Linked DNA regions of Styela clava. The protein of the gene in region 2 purifies or fractionates together with the protein of the main gene of each other region. This does not show direct contact. Links are inferred from orthologs where the notes say so. Each region holds a gene or a part of one and is shown on either strand. Other genes may lie near its edges.

Region 1 (8,374 bases), on a different chromosome or scaffold from region 2:
CACACATCTTTGGTTATAATCCCATGTCCCCACCTTATTCTTGATGTAATACCAAATCGGAGAAGATTCCAATCACCCCAAATCATAGTAGCTTCTTATGTATTGTTAAATATCAGTGGCTGCTTGTTTAGGGCCTTGTTCAGAGTGAAAAGCATAAATAAGAATCATATAAAATATCTTCATGTTTAATAATAGCACTTATCTTCAGCAGAAGAATTATTCTGACCCCCTTGGTTTCAAAGATTACTGTGGCTACAATGAGCTCGTAAGATCATGATCAATCTGAAGCAGTATTATTTAAACCTTTGGTTGAAACTTTAAAGCCAAAGGCATTTGCTACTAACAAACTCGTATTGGAAGTTTGTAGTAAAACTGGCGTCACTGTTTTCAAATTGCTGTTTCTACATATTTTATATTATGTTAATTTAATAAGGGGTTACCTTCATTCTCAGGTATGGTATGAGCCAACCGAAGAACATCTTTGTGTGTCCAGTGATTGTAACGTGGACATTTTGTTATTGATTTGGCGACTTCTAGAGGTGATTTTCTTTGATACCATTTCTGGACAGCATTTCTATGCGAACGACTCCAACCGGTAGTTTTACGTTTCGCTAGGCAGATCTTTTCATGAAAGTCAACAAACTGTAATTATATAAATAAAGAGTTATTTTATAATAAATATTTATGCAGTGAATAAAGTCCTGTATAAAAATCAAGTCACATGTGAGAATGCCCAAGCTCATATTCAATTTCATTTGGCTTCAAAAAGTTTTTTTATGAATAATTAATTACAACATTTAAGAAAAAATTCTAAAATTCCATATTTGGCAAATCCTTGCAAAATAGTTTATTTTATAAAAATTCGGCAAGAAGGATCTGTGGAGTTTGGAGTTATTGACATAAATAATAGTAGTTAGAAGCTGAGTAAGAGGTAGGCTCCATGCATTGGAGATTCAAAATTCTTTATATAACTCAAAAATCGTACAAATAGCAGTTTCATCATATATAGATAAAAAAAAATGCCCACATTATCGCAAGTTTTTGCTATTTGGTTTTCTCTGAAGAAACTTTTTTCAACAAATCTGAATTTTTACCAAGCTAGAGTTGTTTCGGAGTCTGATATGAATTTTCCCCAAATAAACAACCATGCTACAAGTCTAGGCCCTCTCAAACTTACCCATGAAAATAACAAATTTGCCTGAAAATACAGGAATTTCAAACGACTTTTCATACACAACTAACTTTGAATTTATTGAATTCTTCATACATCTTATGTAACAGTAACACTAACTTCAATGTAAACATATTATTACTAGAAATCTAGCATTTACTTTATTAACACCAATTCAGTTTCTGTTAAAAGACAAGAATCACAAAACATCATATAAAATAATTTTTGGGATATATTGAATGCTATTAAGAGTAGTAAACTGACCTGTAAAAAATGTGACGATTGATCACAGATTTCATTCACAAGACCGTAGGCTTTAGTCTTCACCTCAGCATTTTCCGAACAAGTACATAAAGTCAATGCATAAACGATAGCTTCATATTTGACTGAAGTACCTGTAGAATAAGAGTTATTCTCATAAGATATCATATTCTCATATATATCTCATAAGTTTGGAGAAAAAATTATCCTAAATATAACAAAGAAATGAGCAATACACATGATTACAAAAACGAAATTGCAGCAGGTACCAGAACACTTCTTGAATGATAATATGCTATGAATCATGTCTTTAAGATATTATCATATGATACAAAACAAGCATTAGCATATTGCTTCAAAAATTGAAATAGAGAATGTACGAATATCATATAGGTTAGATTTATAACGAAATTAAATACAGCTGTGAATCCTTTATAACATATTTCAAATAGGTTTGTTGACTTTTATCACCTTACGTAAAACATGGTACTTTAAGATTGAATGAATGAAAATGATACAGTTAATATTCCATAGATCTGGTGTATTTCTGGGAGTCCCCAACCATGGGAAATAAATTCAAGGTCATACTGACATGATATGTGACCTTATCGCAGCAGTGCTAATGTTGCTGTTTTAAGTAGGCTACATGTTTTGTTAATATTTTAGGTATTTTGGAATGTGCAAGAATGAATTAAAATATTCACCATTGTTCCTTTTGACAAAAAGTTTGGATACTCCAACAAATGGAGAGTCAAACACCAATCCTGAACGAAATGTGTTCGACTACCGATTTACTGTATGTATGCAACTTGAAATATGGTCTTATCAAAGAAGTGCTAATGTTGTGGTTTAGGTACAGATTTTGTTAATATTTTGGAATGTGCAAGAATATATCACAACGAAGATCACCTTCAGAAAAAACCTTGTATATGGTGTTTACAAGTTCAATTCCTTTTCCATCTTCGATTGTTTGAAAAAGAAGTTTATCAATTTCTTCTGAATTTATTCCAGTTAAAATTGATGAATGTTTAACCATAGAAGACGTGTTGCCATTTAATAAAAATCTCCAAACTTTGCTGTTAGAAGTCACCTGTGGTAAGAGAAAAAAATCTGAATTACTTCATAAAATATTGCAGTATTGACAATACGTATTGCCTTTTGTCTTTATTCAGAGATATTTCACATAGGCTAATCATAATTTTTGCAACATAGTAGTAGTAGTATTTTATTTCGTCAACAATGTCAAATAGTATACATACAACATTTCAAAATTATTTTCAAGGCATTGTGACGAGGATGTGACGAAGCGACCGTTAGGTCATCGAGTTAGTCACAACCTTTAAAAAAATATAAAATTACCATTTTGTCAACGAAATTGAGCTAAAGTAACACACACTGCAAATAAATTTCCACACAAGAAAAACAAAAAGAAAACAAAAACAAAACTCAATTGAATAAGTTAAAACCATACTATGTCGGATGGCATAGGCACAGTATAATTCATGCCTAGTCCAACTCTAGAAGGGAATAATGGTCTTTTACAGTTAAGGTTCTATAGTAGAGTCGTATATTTCACGTAAATAGGACTCCAAATTCGCTGATAATGCCAGTTCTATAAATATCATCGATTTCCACATTTAAAATCGTTGATGTGATTGAGACAGGAAATGAACTAACAATAAACTCCCTTATAATGGCTTAGTATTAGTTTATCATGTACTTTCAGTCATACATTCCATCCCTGGCCCTGTGATTTTATTGAAAAATATGATATGACTGCACCATACTTGGAGTAGGTATAGAGAAATTTTAAACGTGAAAAAAAAAAAGTAAAATTAATGGTAATTTTCACACGTAACGGCGCGCATTAGAATGTTTACGTCTTTCTACGCGCATTTCCGTCGAAAAAATAACATTTTTTGCATTGAGGGGGCATGTGAAGAAATAATTAGAGGTGTGACATCATCAAAATTGTCAATTGAAGCCTTGAACTTGAAAATTCTTCAAATACAATTATGAATTTTAGAGTTACCATTCTTGCTATAATAGTGGTTTTGGTGTTCTGTTGGAAAATAACACAAGAACACGTTGAACATAATGATATAATTTTCCATATTTGCATTAATAAAATCTCCCTATTATAAAAAGTTAGAATATAATTTAATTGTACCGGTACCCGGTACTGAATATAACTTATAAGCTATTGCGAAGCTTACCGGCCATTTGAATTCAGTGCTTTCGTCCGGCCTCAAATTGTCCGCTAGCACCCCCTTGTCTTCTTGTGCGCTATTTGCCATATTTTTTTTAATCCTCTCATACAATCAATGCCGCAAAAGCCTGTATACGATTTTAAAAGATTAAAAACCAATGTAGTCGCTCCAGACGCATGAAGTCGCACTGAAATGACTAAAGTTGGAATGCAATTAATGCGGACGAAGCATATCCGCCACAAACTGAGAATGGGGAGAAAACAGTATCGGTGTCGGTAATATTGTCACTGAAGCGTAGCCACTCACGTGGGTTCATGATTATGCTGCCCGGCGGAAAGTGGGTGTGTCCCCCGACTTTTAGCGGGTGTGTCCGACTGTCCGATACCTTGCTTTCGAATTGTCGAAACTTGCGTCTTGTCAGTTTGTCGTGTTGTTCGAGCTCGCCGTAACTTCTCGACTAAACTGGTACCGGTACGGTATAACTTATAAACATTCAGACATTTGGTGAATTCAAATGATTAGAAAACAGTTACCGGTACCGGTATCTAATATTAGGTACCGGTACGTACCGGTACCTACGTCGTGAAAGTGCCTAACTTCGTTTTGTCGGTACCGGTACGGTACGGTACCGGTATACCGTATGTTTGTTAGCTCTAATTTCAGACCAGCTAGATTTACCTTTACGGAGATGTTTTGTGCTGATTTTTCAGAGATTTCTAATATTTTACCGGTACCAGTTTCCCAAATAACCTAATGGTGATTCTTGCTTATTTAGAAAAGTAGAGGCGCAGTTCTTACCACTTCATGGCAGCTCCTGCCACGAACGAACCGCGGCAGCTCTTGCCATAGTCTTATAGCGCTATTCTGTATTCAGTAATCAGTATTAACGGTATATTCACAAACTAATGTACCAAATTCTAATTGATCATGCGGAAGTATATCTACTTAAACCCTAACCCTAACCCCAAATCCATCAAGACTGTATTCATAAGAAAAACGTTCCAACTTACCCAATATTTGTCACCATAAGGGACAGCCCTGTCCTTACGGCCCACCTGCCGCGGTTACGGCAGCAAAATTTTACCTGCCATTGGTTTTCAATTTGCTGCCGCGGTAACGGCAGCTCGACATTGGTTTGTGGCAGCTAAAAAGTCAGTCGCCATAGGTTTGGCCGTAGCGGCTATGGTATGGAAATACCGCCATGGTTTTGCGGCAGCTGCAGACGCCATGGAATACTTGAAACTGCACTTGGAAAAGTAGGTAAGATAAGATAAGGCTGGGGTATTTTTGTTAGGAATCGTCCTAGCCTAGTTCAGAAATTAGACAATTTGCATGACTGTGTCTTGCTAAGATTCGCTGTCGGCTTAGGTATTATTGTAGGCAAATCAGATAAATTTTTGTTGTCCCTCATTGAAACAAGGACAGTTGTTGCCTGTAGGAGTAGATGATACCCTTTAAGTTTTATTTGAAATTCAAAAATAGTTTTTTATTTGTTGTCCGAGGTTGAGTTTAAAATATATTATTTGTGGTAGTCTATCTCTACACAATAATACTATCTGGCTATAACATTGGAGAGGGATTAATTTGTCAGCTGCATAAATTGTTGTTTTAAAAGTTTCCATGAACTGTTACATATTGATCAACTTTTTCTATTTGAAAAAGAAAAACGGCGATTTTGCAATCCTTTATAAAAATGCAGAAGTATGGTACTGTACCTCACAGTTTTGGCATAAAAGTGCGCTTATAGTGAACACTACGTCAGATTCCTTTTGATGATGCATATTACTAAAGGACTTTACAATATACACATATATATTATATTCTCTTATCTTCTAGGAAGTTTTGTTGTATTTACCATTTAAATACTAAATTACATGTCACTAAAAGCCATAGCTAATCTTTGAAAAGCAAGCTGACGATTCAAAATTTGCATTTAAAAGATAAGAAAGCTATAAGCTGATCATAAAAATATTAAAGCTATTTACTACATTTTATGACAATGTTCGGGGTGCCAAATGAAAATATTTTCTAATATTCTTAGATATTCCGCTTCTTGGAAAATTATATCAACCAGTAAATTATGGAATCCGCTGTTCATAGCAACATTAGATCAAGGCTAAATTTAATAACCAACAGTAAAGATGTACCATATATTTGCCAACAATGTGAGAAGAACTTCAAATCAAAGCAGAATTTGAACAGGCATATGAGAATGCATACCAAAGAGAAACCTTTTACTTGTAAGCAATGTGGAAAGTGTTTTTCACGATTATACCATTTACAAGTGCATGAGCGAACTCACACTGGAGAAAAACCTCATGCTTGTAAACAATGTGAAAAGCGATTTTCGCATATATCTAATTTACTTAAGCACGAACGAACTCACACCGGAGAAAAACCCTATATCTGTAAACTTTGTGGAAAGGATTTTTCACATTTAACTAATTTACGCAAGCACAACCAATCTCACACTGGAGAGAGACCCTATATTTGTAAACACTGTGGGATGCGTTTTTCACGAACATCTCATCTGAATTCACATGAGCGAACTCATACTGGAGAAAAACCGTACGTTTGTAAACAATGTGGAAAGAGTTTTGCACGATTATCTCATTTACAAGGGCATGAGCGAACTCACACTGGAGTAAAACCTCATTCTTGTAAACAATGTGAAAAGCGCTTTTCAGAATTATGTGCTTTACGTGTGCATGAGCGAACTCATACCGGAGAAAAACCTTTTATTTGTAATCAATGTGGAAAGAACTTTTCACAGTGGTCCAATTTAAAAGTGCATAAACGAACTCATACTGGAGAGAAACTGTAAGTTTGTAATCAATGTGGAAAGGCTTTTCACAGTGGTCCAATTTAAAAGTGCATAAACGAACTCATACTGGAGAGAAACTGTAAGTTTGTGATCAATGTGGAAAAGGCTTTTCACAATTGGACCATTCGTGTACATTACAAGTGTAATTCTTTCAAACTATGTCAGAAAAATTTTACACAAAAGGGCATCAATACGAAGGAATTTATTGATTTGTTGTGGAGAGAAACCTTGTACGTGTAACCCATATTGAAAAGCAGATTAAAATCCACATCAAAATTCACAGACAGTGTGCACCTATGAGATAACTTATATCTTTAAACAATGTGAAAAGAGTTTACTCCAATGGGATATTCACGAAAATATGTCCAAGAATGCAAATAATTGAATTGCAAATCAATTCAACCCTACTTTCATTCCTTTCAGAATGTTATTGTTTGGGAAATGAGTCAAAAGTTGAATTGACAATAAAAACTCGAAAATTAAAGGTTTCTAAAATCAAAATTCAGGAATGTTTTTTTTTTATTTGTGTGCATAATATTATCCACTTGGACAATTTTTTTTTAATTAAGATATTTAGAATTTTCTTATTTTTGCTTGCGCAGTATTCATTTAACATACTATTCCACATTTTCTTACATCAATCTAATTATTCGTGTACTGTAATTGGGGGGGGTGGAAACAAATCCCAAATCATAAACACAGCCCAATCATGTTCGCTTTGACATGAACAGTTTATATTGGAACAGTGGGTCTGCATTACATTACATAACTTACCGATAGATGTCGTAACTTTTTTATCTTTATATATATATTGTTTGTGTGCGTAATATGGGTCAACTGGCATGTATTTCTATGTTTTAGAACCTTTGTTTTGCCAGTTTTCCTGATTTTCCCAATTATTTGAGAGTTCATACTCATAGATTTGTTCTGTATATGCGTTTTCAGGGAATCAAAATATACTTAATATACTGTCATAATGTATGTTGTCATAATGTGAAAGTTTATATTTGTCCAATCTCATCATGCAGCATGTGTTGTTCGAATGTACTTTTGTGATCTGAGTAATATACCGGTATGCATGATTTTCATAAATAGAAGAGAAAAATTTTGGGAAGAACTTATATCATTTTAAATGCTTGCCAATACCCTTTGATCTTATTCCAGATTTATTTTATAATAATATTGTAAAATTAGTTTATTTATGATCCAGTACAATTTATGGAGAAAATTTCTAGGAAATTTTTCTTGCAAATTATTGTTCCTCAGAATCGATCAGTGTTTCTCTAAAACTTTAACAACTGTTGCTACGCAAATCAAAATGCAAACCGACCTTGGATCAAAAATTTTCTGCATTGAGACAGAAAAGGGACCTCTTTATATGAAAACATCAAATAAGGAGAATGTGGATAAGATTGGCATTACTGATAATACAGAATTGCAAACATTGCTAAAGGATAAATCCATGTTCTATTTGTCTGGATTTCTAACCGATAATTCTTTTGCAAGAAATATAAATAGGCATGAACAATTAAAAAAGAGCATTCAAACTCGTATTACTGATAAAAATCAAGTATACCAAGGTATCAGTTTGAACAATGAAAAGGATTTTGAACGTGGGTTTTTTGTGCTGTATGACTCACTTGATAAAGGGTGTGTTGAGAAGCAAATTTCTGATTTGGTATCGCGAAGTGGTGCTCTGGGAAGCGGAGAAGTCTTAAGAATTTTTCCAAGCGGAAATGACGGCATAATTTATGTTAAATTACTCAGTCATCATTCTGAAGGCGGTAGTAATATAACCTTAAATGGGTTTCAATTAATTGCTTCATCTCCAGTAAAGGTCCATCCAGCTTTTATGTTCACTGATACAAATTCAGTATATCATGATATTCAGCGATGTTATGACGTTTT
Region 2 (8,692 bases):
AACCAATCGCGAGAGCCGTAACAAAAAATATATACATCAGAGGCATCAAACTCGGGAAAAAGGAAGAAAAAATAGAACAATTCGGCCGACCGGCCAAGCCTTGAACATGGAAAAATCACAAATTTTATGTATAAATGAAGAGGCAGAACTGCGTTTAAAGGACAATTGGTTAAATAAATACCGACACGACACCGTCAAAATCTTGGGGGTTTATAACGGGAAAGAGGTAAAATACAAAGTGCAAGATGAAAAGATTCGTAAAATTACCCAAATTTTAAACAACACAAAGTCGCGTCATTTAACATGGCGTGGAAAACTTTTGATAATACAATCTCTCGCTCTACCGTTAACACTACTGGAAGCTAAAACAAGAATAATACCAAGCCGATACCTTAACAATATTCAGTCCATATTTTTTAAATATCTATGGTATCCTGAATACCTAGAGAGTATCGCTCGGAAAACGTTGCTCCTTCCCGTGAGAAAGGGCGGAATAAGTATGATAGATATTAAACTAAAATCTCATGCATGTCTTTTCCAAAAACTGACCACAATACTTAGCATAAATGCCCCAACCGAATTCTGGCACTTCGAGGCGCTATATACTCTCGGCGCGAGAATAAGAATCTTCGACAAGTCGCTATACAACAACTCGGCACCCCATGCACTCCACATTGACCATCACTGGCAGCATATCCTGAATATTGGTTATATTATGGAAATTGGCCAATCCGAAAGGGAAGGAGCAACCTTGCGCTTTCTTTACAATAGGTTGAAAGAAAAGTCTTATGAATTCGACCGAACAGAAATATGTGAATGGCCAAAAATACACTTAGCAGATGACCGACTAAAGCAACACTTTTCAAATGCCGAACGACAAACGTCATATAGGATTAAGAGAGGTGGGTACCTCTTTGGCCACAGGAAGTGGAGGTTTGGTATATTACGAAACAACGAAAACTCTCACTTGCTGAAATTGAACTGCAAATTCTGTAGAGAAAACCCGGATACCACTCCCCACATCTTTCTGAGGTGCCCCCAATATCTAAAGCTTCATAACTCAGTTAGCCAAACACTGGAAATTATAACAGGCCACAAATTACCATTAAGTCGGCAACAAATATTCGACAACACTTTTGAAGATAAATACCAACTTGTTGTACTCAAAATTTTCTCTGTACTAAAATCTGAAGTCATCCAACTAAAAATTGAATTAGACAGGCAAAATAGATATGGAACCGTCTGCGATATAGAAAGTGTATATCAAAGAGTTGGACAACGTAATACTTACGCTTGGATCAGCCCAAATATTTGAACTCAGGTCAGACTGGAAAACTCTACTACTTCAGAACAGAGTAGCGACTTAGCCCCCCCATAATAACTGCATCCCCGCCCCCCACAAACGGGAGCGTAAAACTGCTAATACCATCACAACCCCTACGGAAATGACGAAAAGGTAGCTTCACGGTGGATGTCATGCTGTGCGCGCGCTTCACGTCTTCACACAGTATGTACGGAAGCCAGGGCAGCGGAAGTTGAGCTATGCATGGCATTAACGGAAGCCCTGGGCTAACGTCATGCTATCTGGCAAATAGCATGTACAGAAGCTCGGGGTCGAAGTTTTTACCGTGCAATGCATAGTATATACGGAAGCTCCCAGATATGTATGACGGTCGTGTACCCCGCGACATGACTACGAAGCGTTAGTACCGATGTGACTCGGATATGACGTGTCTTTGAGACACTGATCCGAGACCAGAAAACTCTGATCCGTAAAAGTAAAGAAAAAAAAAAAAAAAAAAGCCGTTTTATGTCCTTAATAGTTGGCCATGTCGTGAGTCTTGTGACAACATGATGCTGATCCGAAATAAGCAATAGTGCTCTGGTCCGTAGAAAGTATTTTCTTCAACATTTTTCAGTAAAAGCGATGCCAAGAATTACGTACGAACTGCGTCCTTTGCAACTTCATTAAGTTGCAGAAAAGATAAGCTCAATTTTGGGAATATACGCTGAATTAAAGGGCAGTTGGCAACGCTAGCTACGACAAAACATGTCATGGTTTAAAAATAGTTTGGAAGGGATTACACTCATTGAGCGACTTATATTTTTGACTGTTTATTTGATTATTTCCTCATTGTTTTGTCTTGCTCGGAAATACAGGCGACATTGAATGAGTTTCTGGAAAGGAACTCAGATATGTCGATATCGAATTTTTTTTTTGCCCTGCTAAAGTTTTAAAAACAGTGACTCCACACCCGATGCCATCAGTAGCCCAATTGGTAGCACATTTTTAAGCCACTAATTATGGTTATTGATTACCAATTGAGATTCCAGCCTACATTTACGAATACCGTCAATCATGTTTTGTCGACGTACGATTGAATCCTCTCATTGGCATACTCGACCAGTGTAACACATGGAAGTTGGTCGCATGATGGTAATGTTCATTTGACGATCGAGTCGTGATTATAGCGCCGTTAGGTTAAGTACTGAGTGGTATAGCGCCGTGGGTCGAAGATAAGTAAGTTGAGGGAGCTCGGACAGTGGGTTGAGGGTGGGAAGTTTGAGGCAGATAGTGCAGTGGCGAGGATAGAAAAGTTGAGGATAAAAAGGTTGGAGGGGATAGGAAGGTTGGGGGAAATAGGGCAGCGAGTCGAGAATAGGGAGGTGGAGCAGTTGGCCGAGGCGAGAGAGAGGGCAGCGGATCGGGAATAGGAAAGTGGAGGGAGATAGGGCAGTGGGTCGACGATTTGAATTGGGATAACTGTATATTATGTATAACTTCACTGGCTCTAAAGCAGGGGTTCCCAAACTTATTTGGCCGCGGGCAAAAATATCAAGGCGAGGATACTCGCGGGCCAGTAAAGCGAGATGACTAAAAAAGGCTGACGTAAAGGCTGGGGTTCAGGGCGCGATTAAGCGCCCTGAGACAATTTTGAAAAATAGGCACCAAAATAGGCTGCAAGATTGATTTTAGATACACCCAGTATCGCAGTTTGTTATGTAATAAAATTCATAAGTATAATAGTTAGGTGATAGAATACCCGAGGAATAACAAGCACGACTTTCAAAAAGGATTTGTAACTGATAACGACTAATGAAGTTACTTGCTCATCTGGAGTACGGCTTCGTATAAATGTCTACTCATATCAAGGTCAAATTTATTTTTTTCCATCCAGTAAAAATAACAAACGAAATTATGAAAAAAGTAAAATTGACACACATTTTACTGGAAAGGGAAATCGCTGGGAACTGATTATCAGGCAGCGACACCCAAGGTTTGTGTGGCGTACCAAAATTGATATCACCACTCAGGTTCTTTCTGCCAGATTATCGGACACTGAAGTTGCAATAGATGTCGTTCACAAAACAATCTTCTTGCGGTTCCAATTATAGCAGAGTAACTAAGTTAACTAACTAGATTAATTATACACCTTAATACAACCAAATACTCCAATACACAAATAAAAACACAGTACAAATACCGTAGGATACATACGTAACACAAGATACGGAATTTGTCTATGACGTCACAGTCATGAACTATTTACTTATAATGGGATACTAAAAACCGGGTAAAACATACCTAGATATACATAAGAATAGCTAGTATGACACTAAAGATACAACACAAATCCTATCTTATCGACAAACACGTAATATACATGGAAATACGCATAGAAATCACACAGGAAATAAACTGCGAAAATAGACTAGTTACGGAAGTGTTAAATACAAGCTAACTAGTGAACAGAGCTATGCCAAACTGGAGAAATAGTAAACCTGTACTACTAATATCATTTTACAACAAGAATTACACAGATTAACGGCACTAAACACTATAATAATAACCTAAAACACAGAGGAAATTCCACACTGCCGGCACTCTGACAAACCAGCTAAAAGAGAAAGTTACACAGTTGCTCACTAATGACTCAAGTGGTAAGAATAAATATGGGCATACAGAATAAAACGGGGTTATAGACGTGGTCGTCTCATTACTCCCCCCTTTTTCAGATGGGAAATTACAACGAAATTTTCCATCTTCAAAATTGAAAAACCATAAAAATATGAAGAAACTGCAAAGAACTGTACACTCAAATGAAATGTATATCTAAAATCAAAACAATCAATTGTTAAAAGTACTATCACAGTCAAATCAAATGTAATCATCCAAATATCTAGGCCTTCGCCTAGTACGTTGGCCATTATCAGAGTTCGCATCAACTGTAACTTCTTCTGGTACAGTGTCTGGCCTTGAAGAGAAAGGTAATTCATCAAAAATATCATGAGCAGCCTGCTCATTATTTTCCATAATAGGTTCCACATCAGGTAAAATGTCAAATCCGGTTAAGTCAATGTCGTTGTCTTCTTCATCTTCATGAAGGTAAGGTCTCAGTTTGTCAACATGCACAATTCGAGAACGTGTTCCCGAATTCTTCTGAATCCTATACAAGTGATTAGGTAAACAGTCCACAATTCGATAAGGTCCAATCCAAGGAATACTCAGCTTACGATGCTTTGGTGGATAATAATACCACACCAATTCATCTCTCTGGAAAGTAAGTGGTTTAACACCCAAATCAAAATTTCGCTTTTGTCTGGTTGCAGCAGCATTTAGATGTTGCCTAGCATGAAGAAAAGCTTTTTCAGTTGCACAGGAAAACCATTCGACAAATTCAGTGTAACAAGGATGAGTTGATGACTCTGGTTTGCCAAACATAACATCAACAGGCATCTCGATTTCTCGTCCAAGCATTAACTTGTTCGGTGAATATCCTGTACTATCATGCACAGTGGAGCGATATGCCATACAAAGATATGGGAGATGGTCGTCCCAATCATTTCGATTCTCATTTACAAAAGCTTTCAACATCTGCTGTATGGTCCTGTTGAAACGTTCAACTTGTCCATCTGAACGAGGATGATATGGAGTTGTTCGAGTCTTTTGAATCCCGTACAATTGACACATTTCTGAAAATAGTTTTGATTCAAAGTCTCTTCCTTGATCTGAGTGGAGAATTCTTGGTACCCCAAATCTCGAAAAGAATTGAGTAACCAATGCATCAGCAGTGGTGTCAGCTCGCTGATTTGGTAAAGCAAAACATTCCACCCATTTAGAGAAATAGTCCGACAAAACCAAAATGTGTTCATTTCCATTTTCAGTTACAGGCAATGGTCCAAGAAAATCAATGGCAATCCTTTCCATAGGAGCTCCAGATATAAGTTGTTTTAAATCTCCCTGTCTTCTTCCGTAAAGCATCTTTGTTGAAGCACAAGACTTGCAAAATTTGCACCATTTCAGAATGTCCCTTTTGAAACCAGGCCAATAAAATCTGCGCCTTATACTCTTGAAAGTTCGATTAGCACCAAGATGACCTGCAGTGCGCAAAGAATGGAGCTTATGAAACAAGTCCTGCCTCAAATTTGATGGAACAATCAATTGGATATGCGATTCCTCCGATTTACAATCAGGAATCCAACGACGATAGAGAAGTCCATTATCTACAAAAATCAAGTCCCACTGCGACATTAAACGTTTGGTCACTGTTGATTCAGGCATGTATTCTTGAATGTCAGGTTTCTGAGCAGTAAGTTGTTTCCATTTCAAAACAGCAGAAATATCTGGATCTTCACTTTGCCAAGATTTAATTTGCTCATCCGTGTAGGTATTTAACCAATTACAATCGGAACAGTCTGACGATGATTGACCGGGCTGTTTTGATATTGCACTTACAATAACATTACTCACAGCCACATCACCATTGGTACCACAATCAGAACAATCTTCTCGCTTGCATTTGCGAACTTGGCGTGACAATCCATCAGCATTGCCATGTTTCACGCCAGGTCTGTGTTCAATCTTAAAGTCATAAGCGCCAAGAGTTAATATCCATCTTGCTAACATTCCTTGAGGTTCACGAAAATTGATCAACCATTTCAAAGCAGCATGATCTGTGCGAATTCTGAACGGTCTCCCGAGAAGAAAATGACTGAAGTGACGAACAGCCCACACCACAGCTAATAGTTCCCGGTGTGTAGCACAGTATCTACGTTGAGACTTGGACATAGTCTTACTGGCATAAGAAAGTACACGTTCATTGTCGTCCTGAACTTGAGATAACACTGCACCAATCCCAAAACCACTGGCATCAGTATCCAATACAAATTCGCCGATTGTCCTCGGAAAGCTAAGAATTGGGGCAGATGTCAGACAATGCTTCAAAATTTCAAAAGCCTTTTGACATTCAGTACCCCATACAAAAGAAATATTCTTCCTGGTCAATCGAATAAGAGGTCCAGCAATCGTTGAATAATCTTGAACAAACTTTCGGTAGTAGTTCGCTGTGCCTAGAAAACTACGAATATCGCTGACAGAATTTGGCGTTTTCCATTCTTTGATAGCCGCAACATTTCCAGGGTCGCAACAGACACCTTCAGATGAAATAAGATAACCAAGATAAGAGGTGCTTCGACGGAAAAGTTTACATTTCGAGGGCTTCAAGCGTAAACCGGCACGGCGAAGTCTTATAAAAACTTCCCGAAGATTTGAGAGTGCCATTGAGAAATCACTACCATGAGCCAAAACATCATCAAGAAAATTGAAACACCCGTTCCACAGTAGATCACCAAGGATATTGTCCATCATCCGTTCGAATGTTGCGGGAGCATTCGCCAAACCGAAAGGCATCACTACAAAGTGAAAATGACCACGGCCTGGGATGCTGAAGGCTGTCTTTTCACGGTCTGCAGGATCAACCTCCACTTGCCAATATCCGCTAGCGAGATCAAGAGTTGAGAACCATTGTGCTCCGTTTAAGGACTCAATGATATCCTCAATACGCGGCAAGGGATATGCGTCCTTGTATGTGACGTCATTAAGCAATCTAAAATCCACGCAAAATCTGGTAGAACCATCCTTTTTAGGAACTAGGACAATGGGAGAAGAATATGGGGAATCGCTGGGTTCTATGACACCCTGAGCCAGCATATTATCAACAGCTTCTTCGGCTATCTTCCTACGTGCCCACCCCATTGGACGAGGAGCCTGCCGAATCGGCTGTGGTGTGGTTGTGATGATCCTATGCTTTGCTGCTGAAGTACGGCCTAGTTCACCATCTGGCCCTACAAATACATCATGAAATTCACAAATCAAATTGACCAACTGTTCACGTTGACTCGGGGTTAGATCCTCAACGGAATTGACCATGTCATGTAGATGTTCTGGTAATTCAGAAGCTATAACCCGATTATCGGATTCGTCAACTTGAATTTGTGCTACAAGTTGAGGATGTGCAATACCAAGCAAAGATCCAGCCCTGATCTTAAGTTGTCTGCCTTTTTGGTTCACCGCTAGAACAGGAACAGTGGACTCTCCTGGATCCACAACAGAAGAAATCAGCTGAATGCCATCAGCGAGGAAAGAAGAATTCAGCGGTTCAACAAGAGCAGCAACGTCAGACAAATTGCTTTTCGGCCAAGGACGACTAAGTTGTGCAGGGATAACAACCTTAGAATATGGCGGTATCGTAATATCTTCTCGAACAGTTACACGACAACACGGTACAGACTTTTCAGTAAACAGTTTGATTTCATGACCCTCTATCATCATGTGTCCAGATGATAAGTAAAGAACGCAATCATGTTCTCGGAGATAGTCCATGCCCAAAATACCATTAGACATACCTAGGTTGGCAACAACAACCGTGCGTCGCGATGCAAAAGAATCAATAGACAAATCAACTTCCAATGTACCCAGTGGTGATAAATCATGTCCTCCCACTGCAACAAGAGATTCTTCGAGCGGTGCTAAATGTGCTTCTTTCCCACCTATAGCCTCAAAGATGGAAATGTCAATCAGAGTAGTCATAGCACCACTATCTACAAGAAAATTGAACGGTTGATTGTTTACAAGTACCTTCGCATGCCAACTATTGTCATATTGCAAGGAACAAATATTCAGGTCTATATTCTGGTTCGTTGGTCCGTCATCAAGTAATAATTCAGCGGACACTGAGGACCTCAAGCCCGCTGAGTGTCGTTTAAATTTGCGGTCGAAGAGGAAGCAGCTGTTGCAGGATCAGCGGGATTCTGAAGATGTGGACAATCCCGTTTAAGATGACCAGTCTGCTTGCAATTAAAACATGCCTTGCAATCCCTGCCCCAATGACCATGTTTACCACATCGAGGACACGGGTTGCGTGGTACACCATCAAAATTGCGATTGTTGGCACGCGGTTTAACATATCCTATAATCTCATCCAGTTTCTGTACAAGTAACTTGATACTGTCTTCAAGAGAAAAGTCGCTTTGCTGATTAACTACATTACCAGTATTGCTCTGTTTCACTGCTGCAATGCGCGGTTTAGACATGTTCTTTCCCTCGGAGTGGTTATTATCAACAGAGTAATACAGTGTCGCAAGAGACAAAGCCTTTTCAAAAGTATCAGGCTGTTGCATGGTAACATGCTTGATCATGCTTTCATCGGTTAGACCGGCAAGAAATTGCGATTTCAAAATATCATCTTGACCAGTAATATCCAGATTTGGGTAGGCAAGAATAACAAGCTCTTTCAACTTATTACCGTAATCCCGTGGCGCTTCATTTGTCTTAATCCTACGACAGTGAAATGTAGTACGGTAGGAGCTCTCATTTCCGGCAGGTTTGAAGAAATGATTGAAATGAGTCACA

What was found.
Region 1: the proteins of lupus La protein homolog (region 2) and RNA-binding protein RO60-like purify together in Homo sapiens (affinity purification with mass spectrometry; 3 studies listed by BioGRID and IntAct, with this or other methods). This does not show direct contact. The link is inferred for Styela clava from reciprocal best matches to the Homo sapiens genes SSB and RO60.

What each region holds. Positions count from the first base shown.
Region 1 is NC_135256.1:17,385,217-17,393,590, forward strand, and holds the start of RNA-binding protein RO60-like, read right to left. Parts: upstream 3,914-8,374; 5' UTR 3,730-3,913; coding exon 3,649-3,729; intron 2,523-3,648; coding exon 2,342-2,522; intron 1,567-2,341; coding exon 1,436-1,566; intron 643-1,435; coding exon 441-642; intron 1-440. Other genes in the region: uncharacterized protein LOC120327945, read left to right, coding at 5,723-6,466; UMP-CMP kinase 2, mitochondrial-like, read left to right, coding at 7,668-8,374. UniProt on the Homo sapiens protein: RNA-binding protein that binds to misfolded non-coding RNAs, pre-5S rRNA, and several small cytoplasmic RNA molecules known as Y RNAs.
Region 2 is NC_135250.1:14,844,386-14,853,077, forward strand, and holds the start of lupus La protein homolog, read right to left. Parts: upstream 3,451-8,692; 5' UTR 3,435-3,450; intron 1-3,434. UniProt on the Homo sapiens protein: Binds to the 3' poly(U) terminus of nascent RNA polymerase III transcripts, protecting them from exonuclease digestion and facilitating their folding and maturation.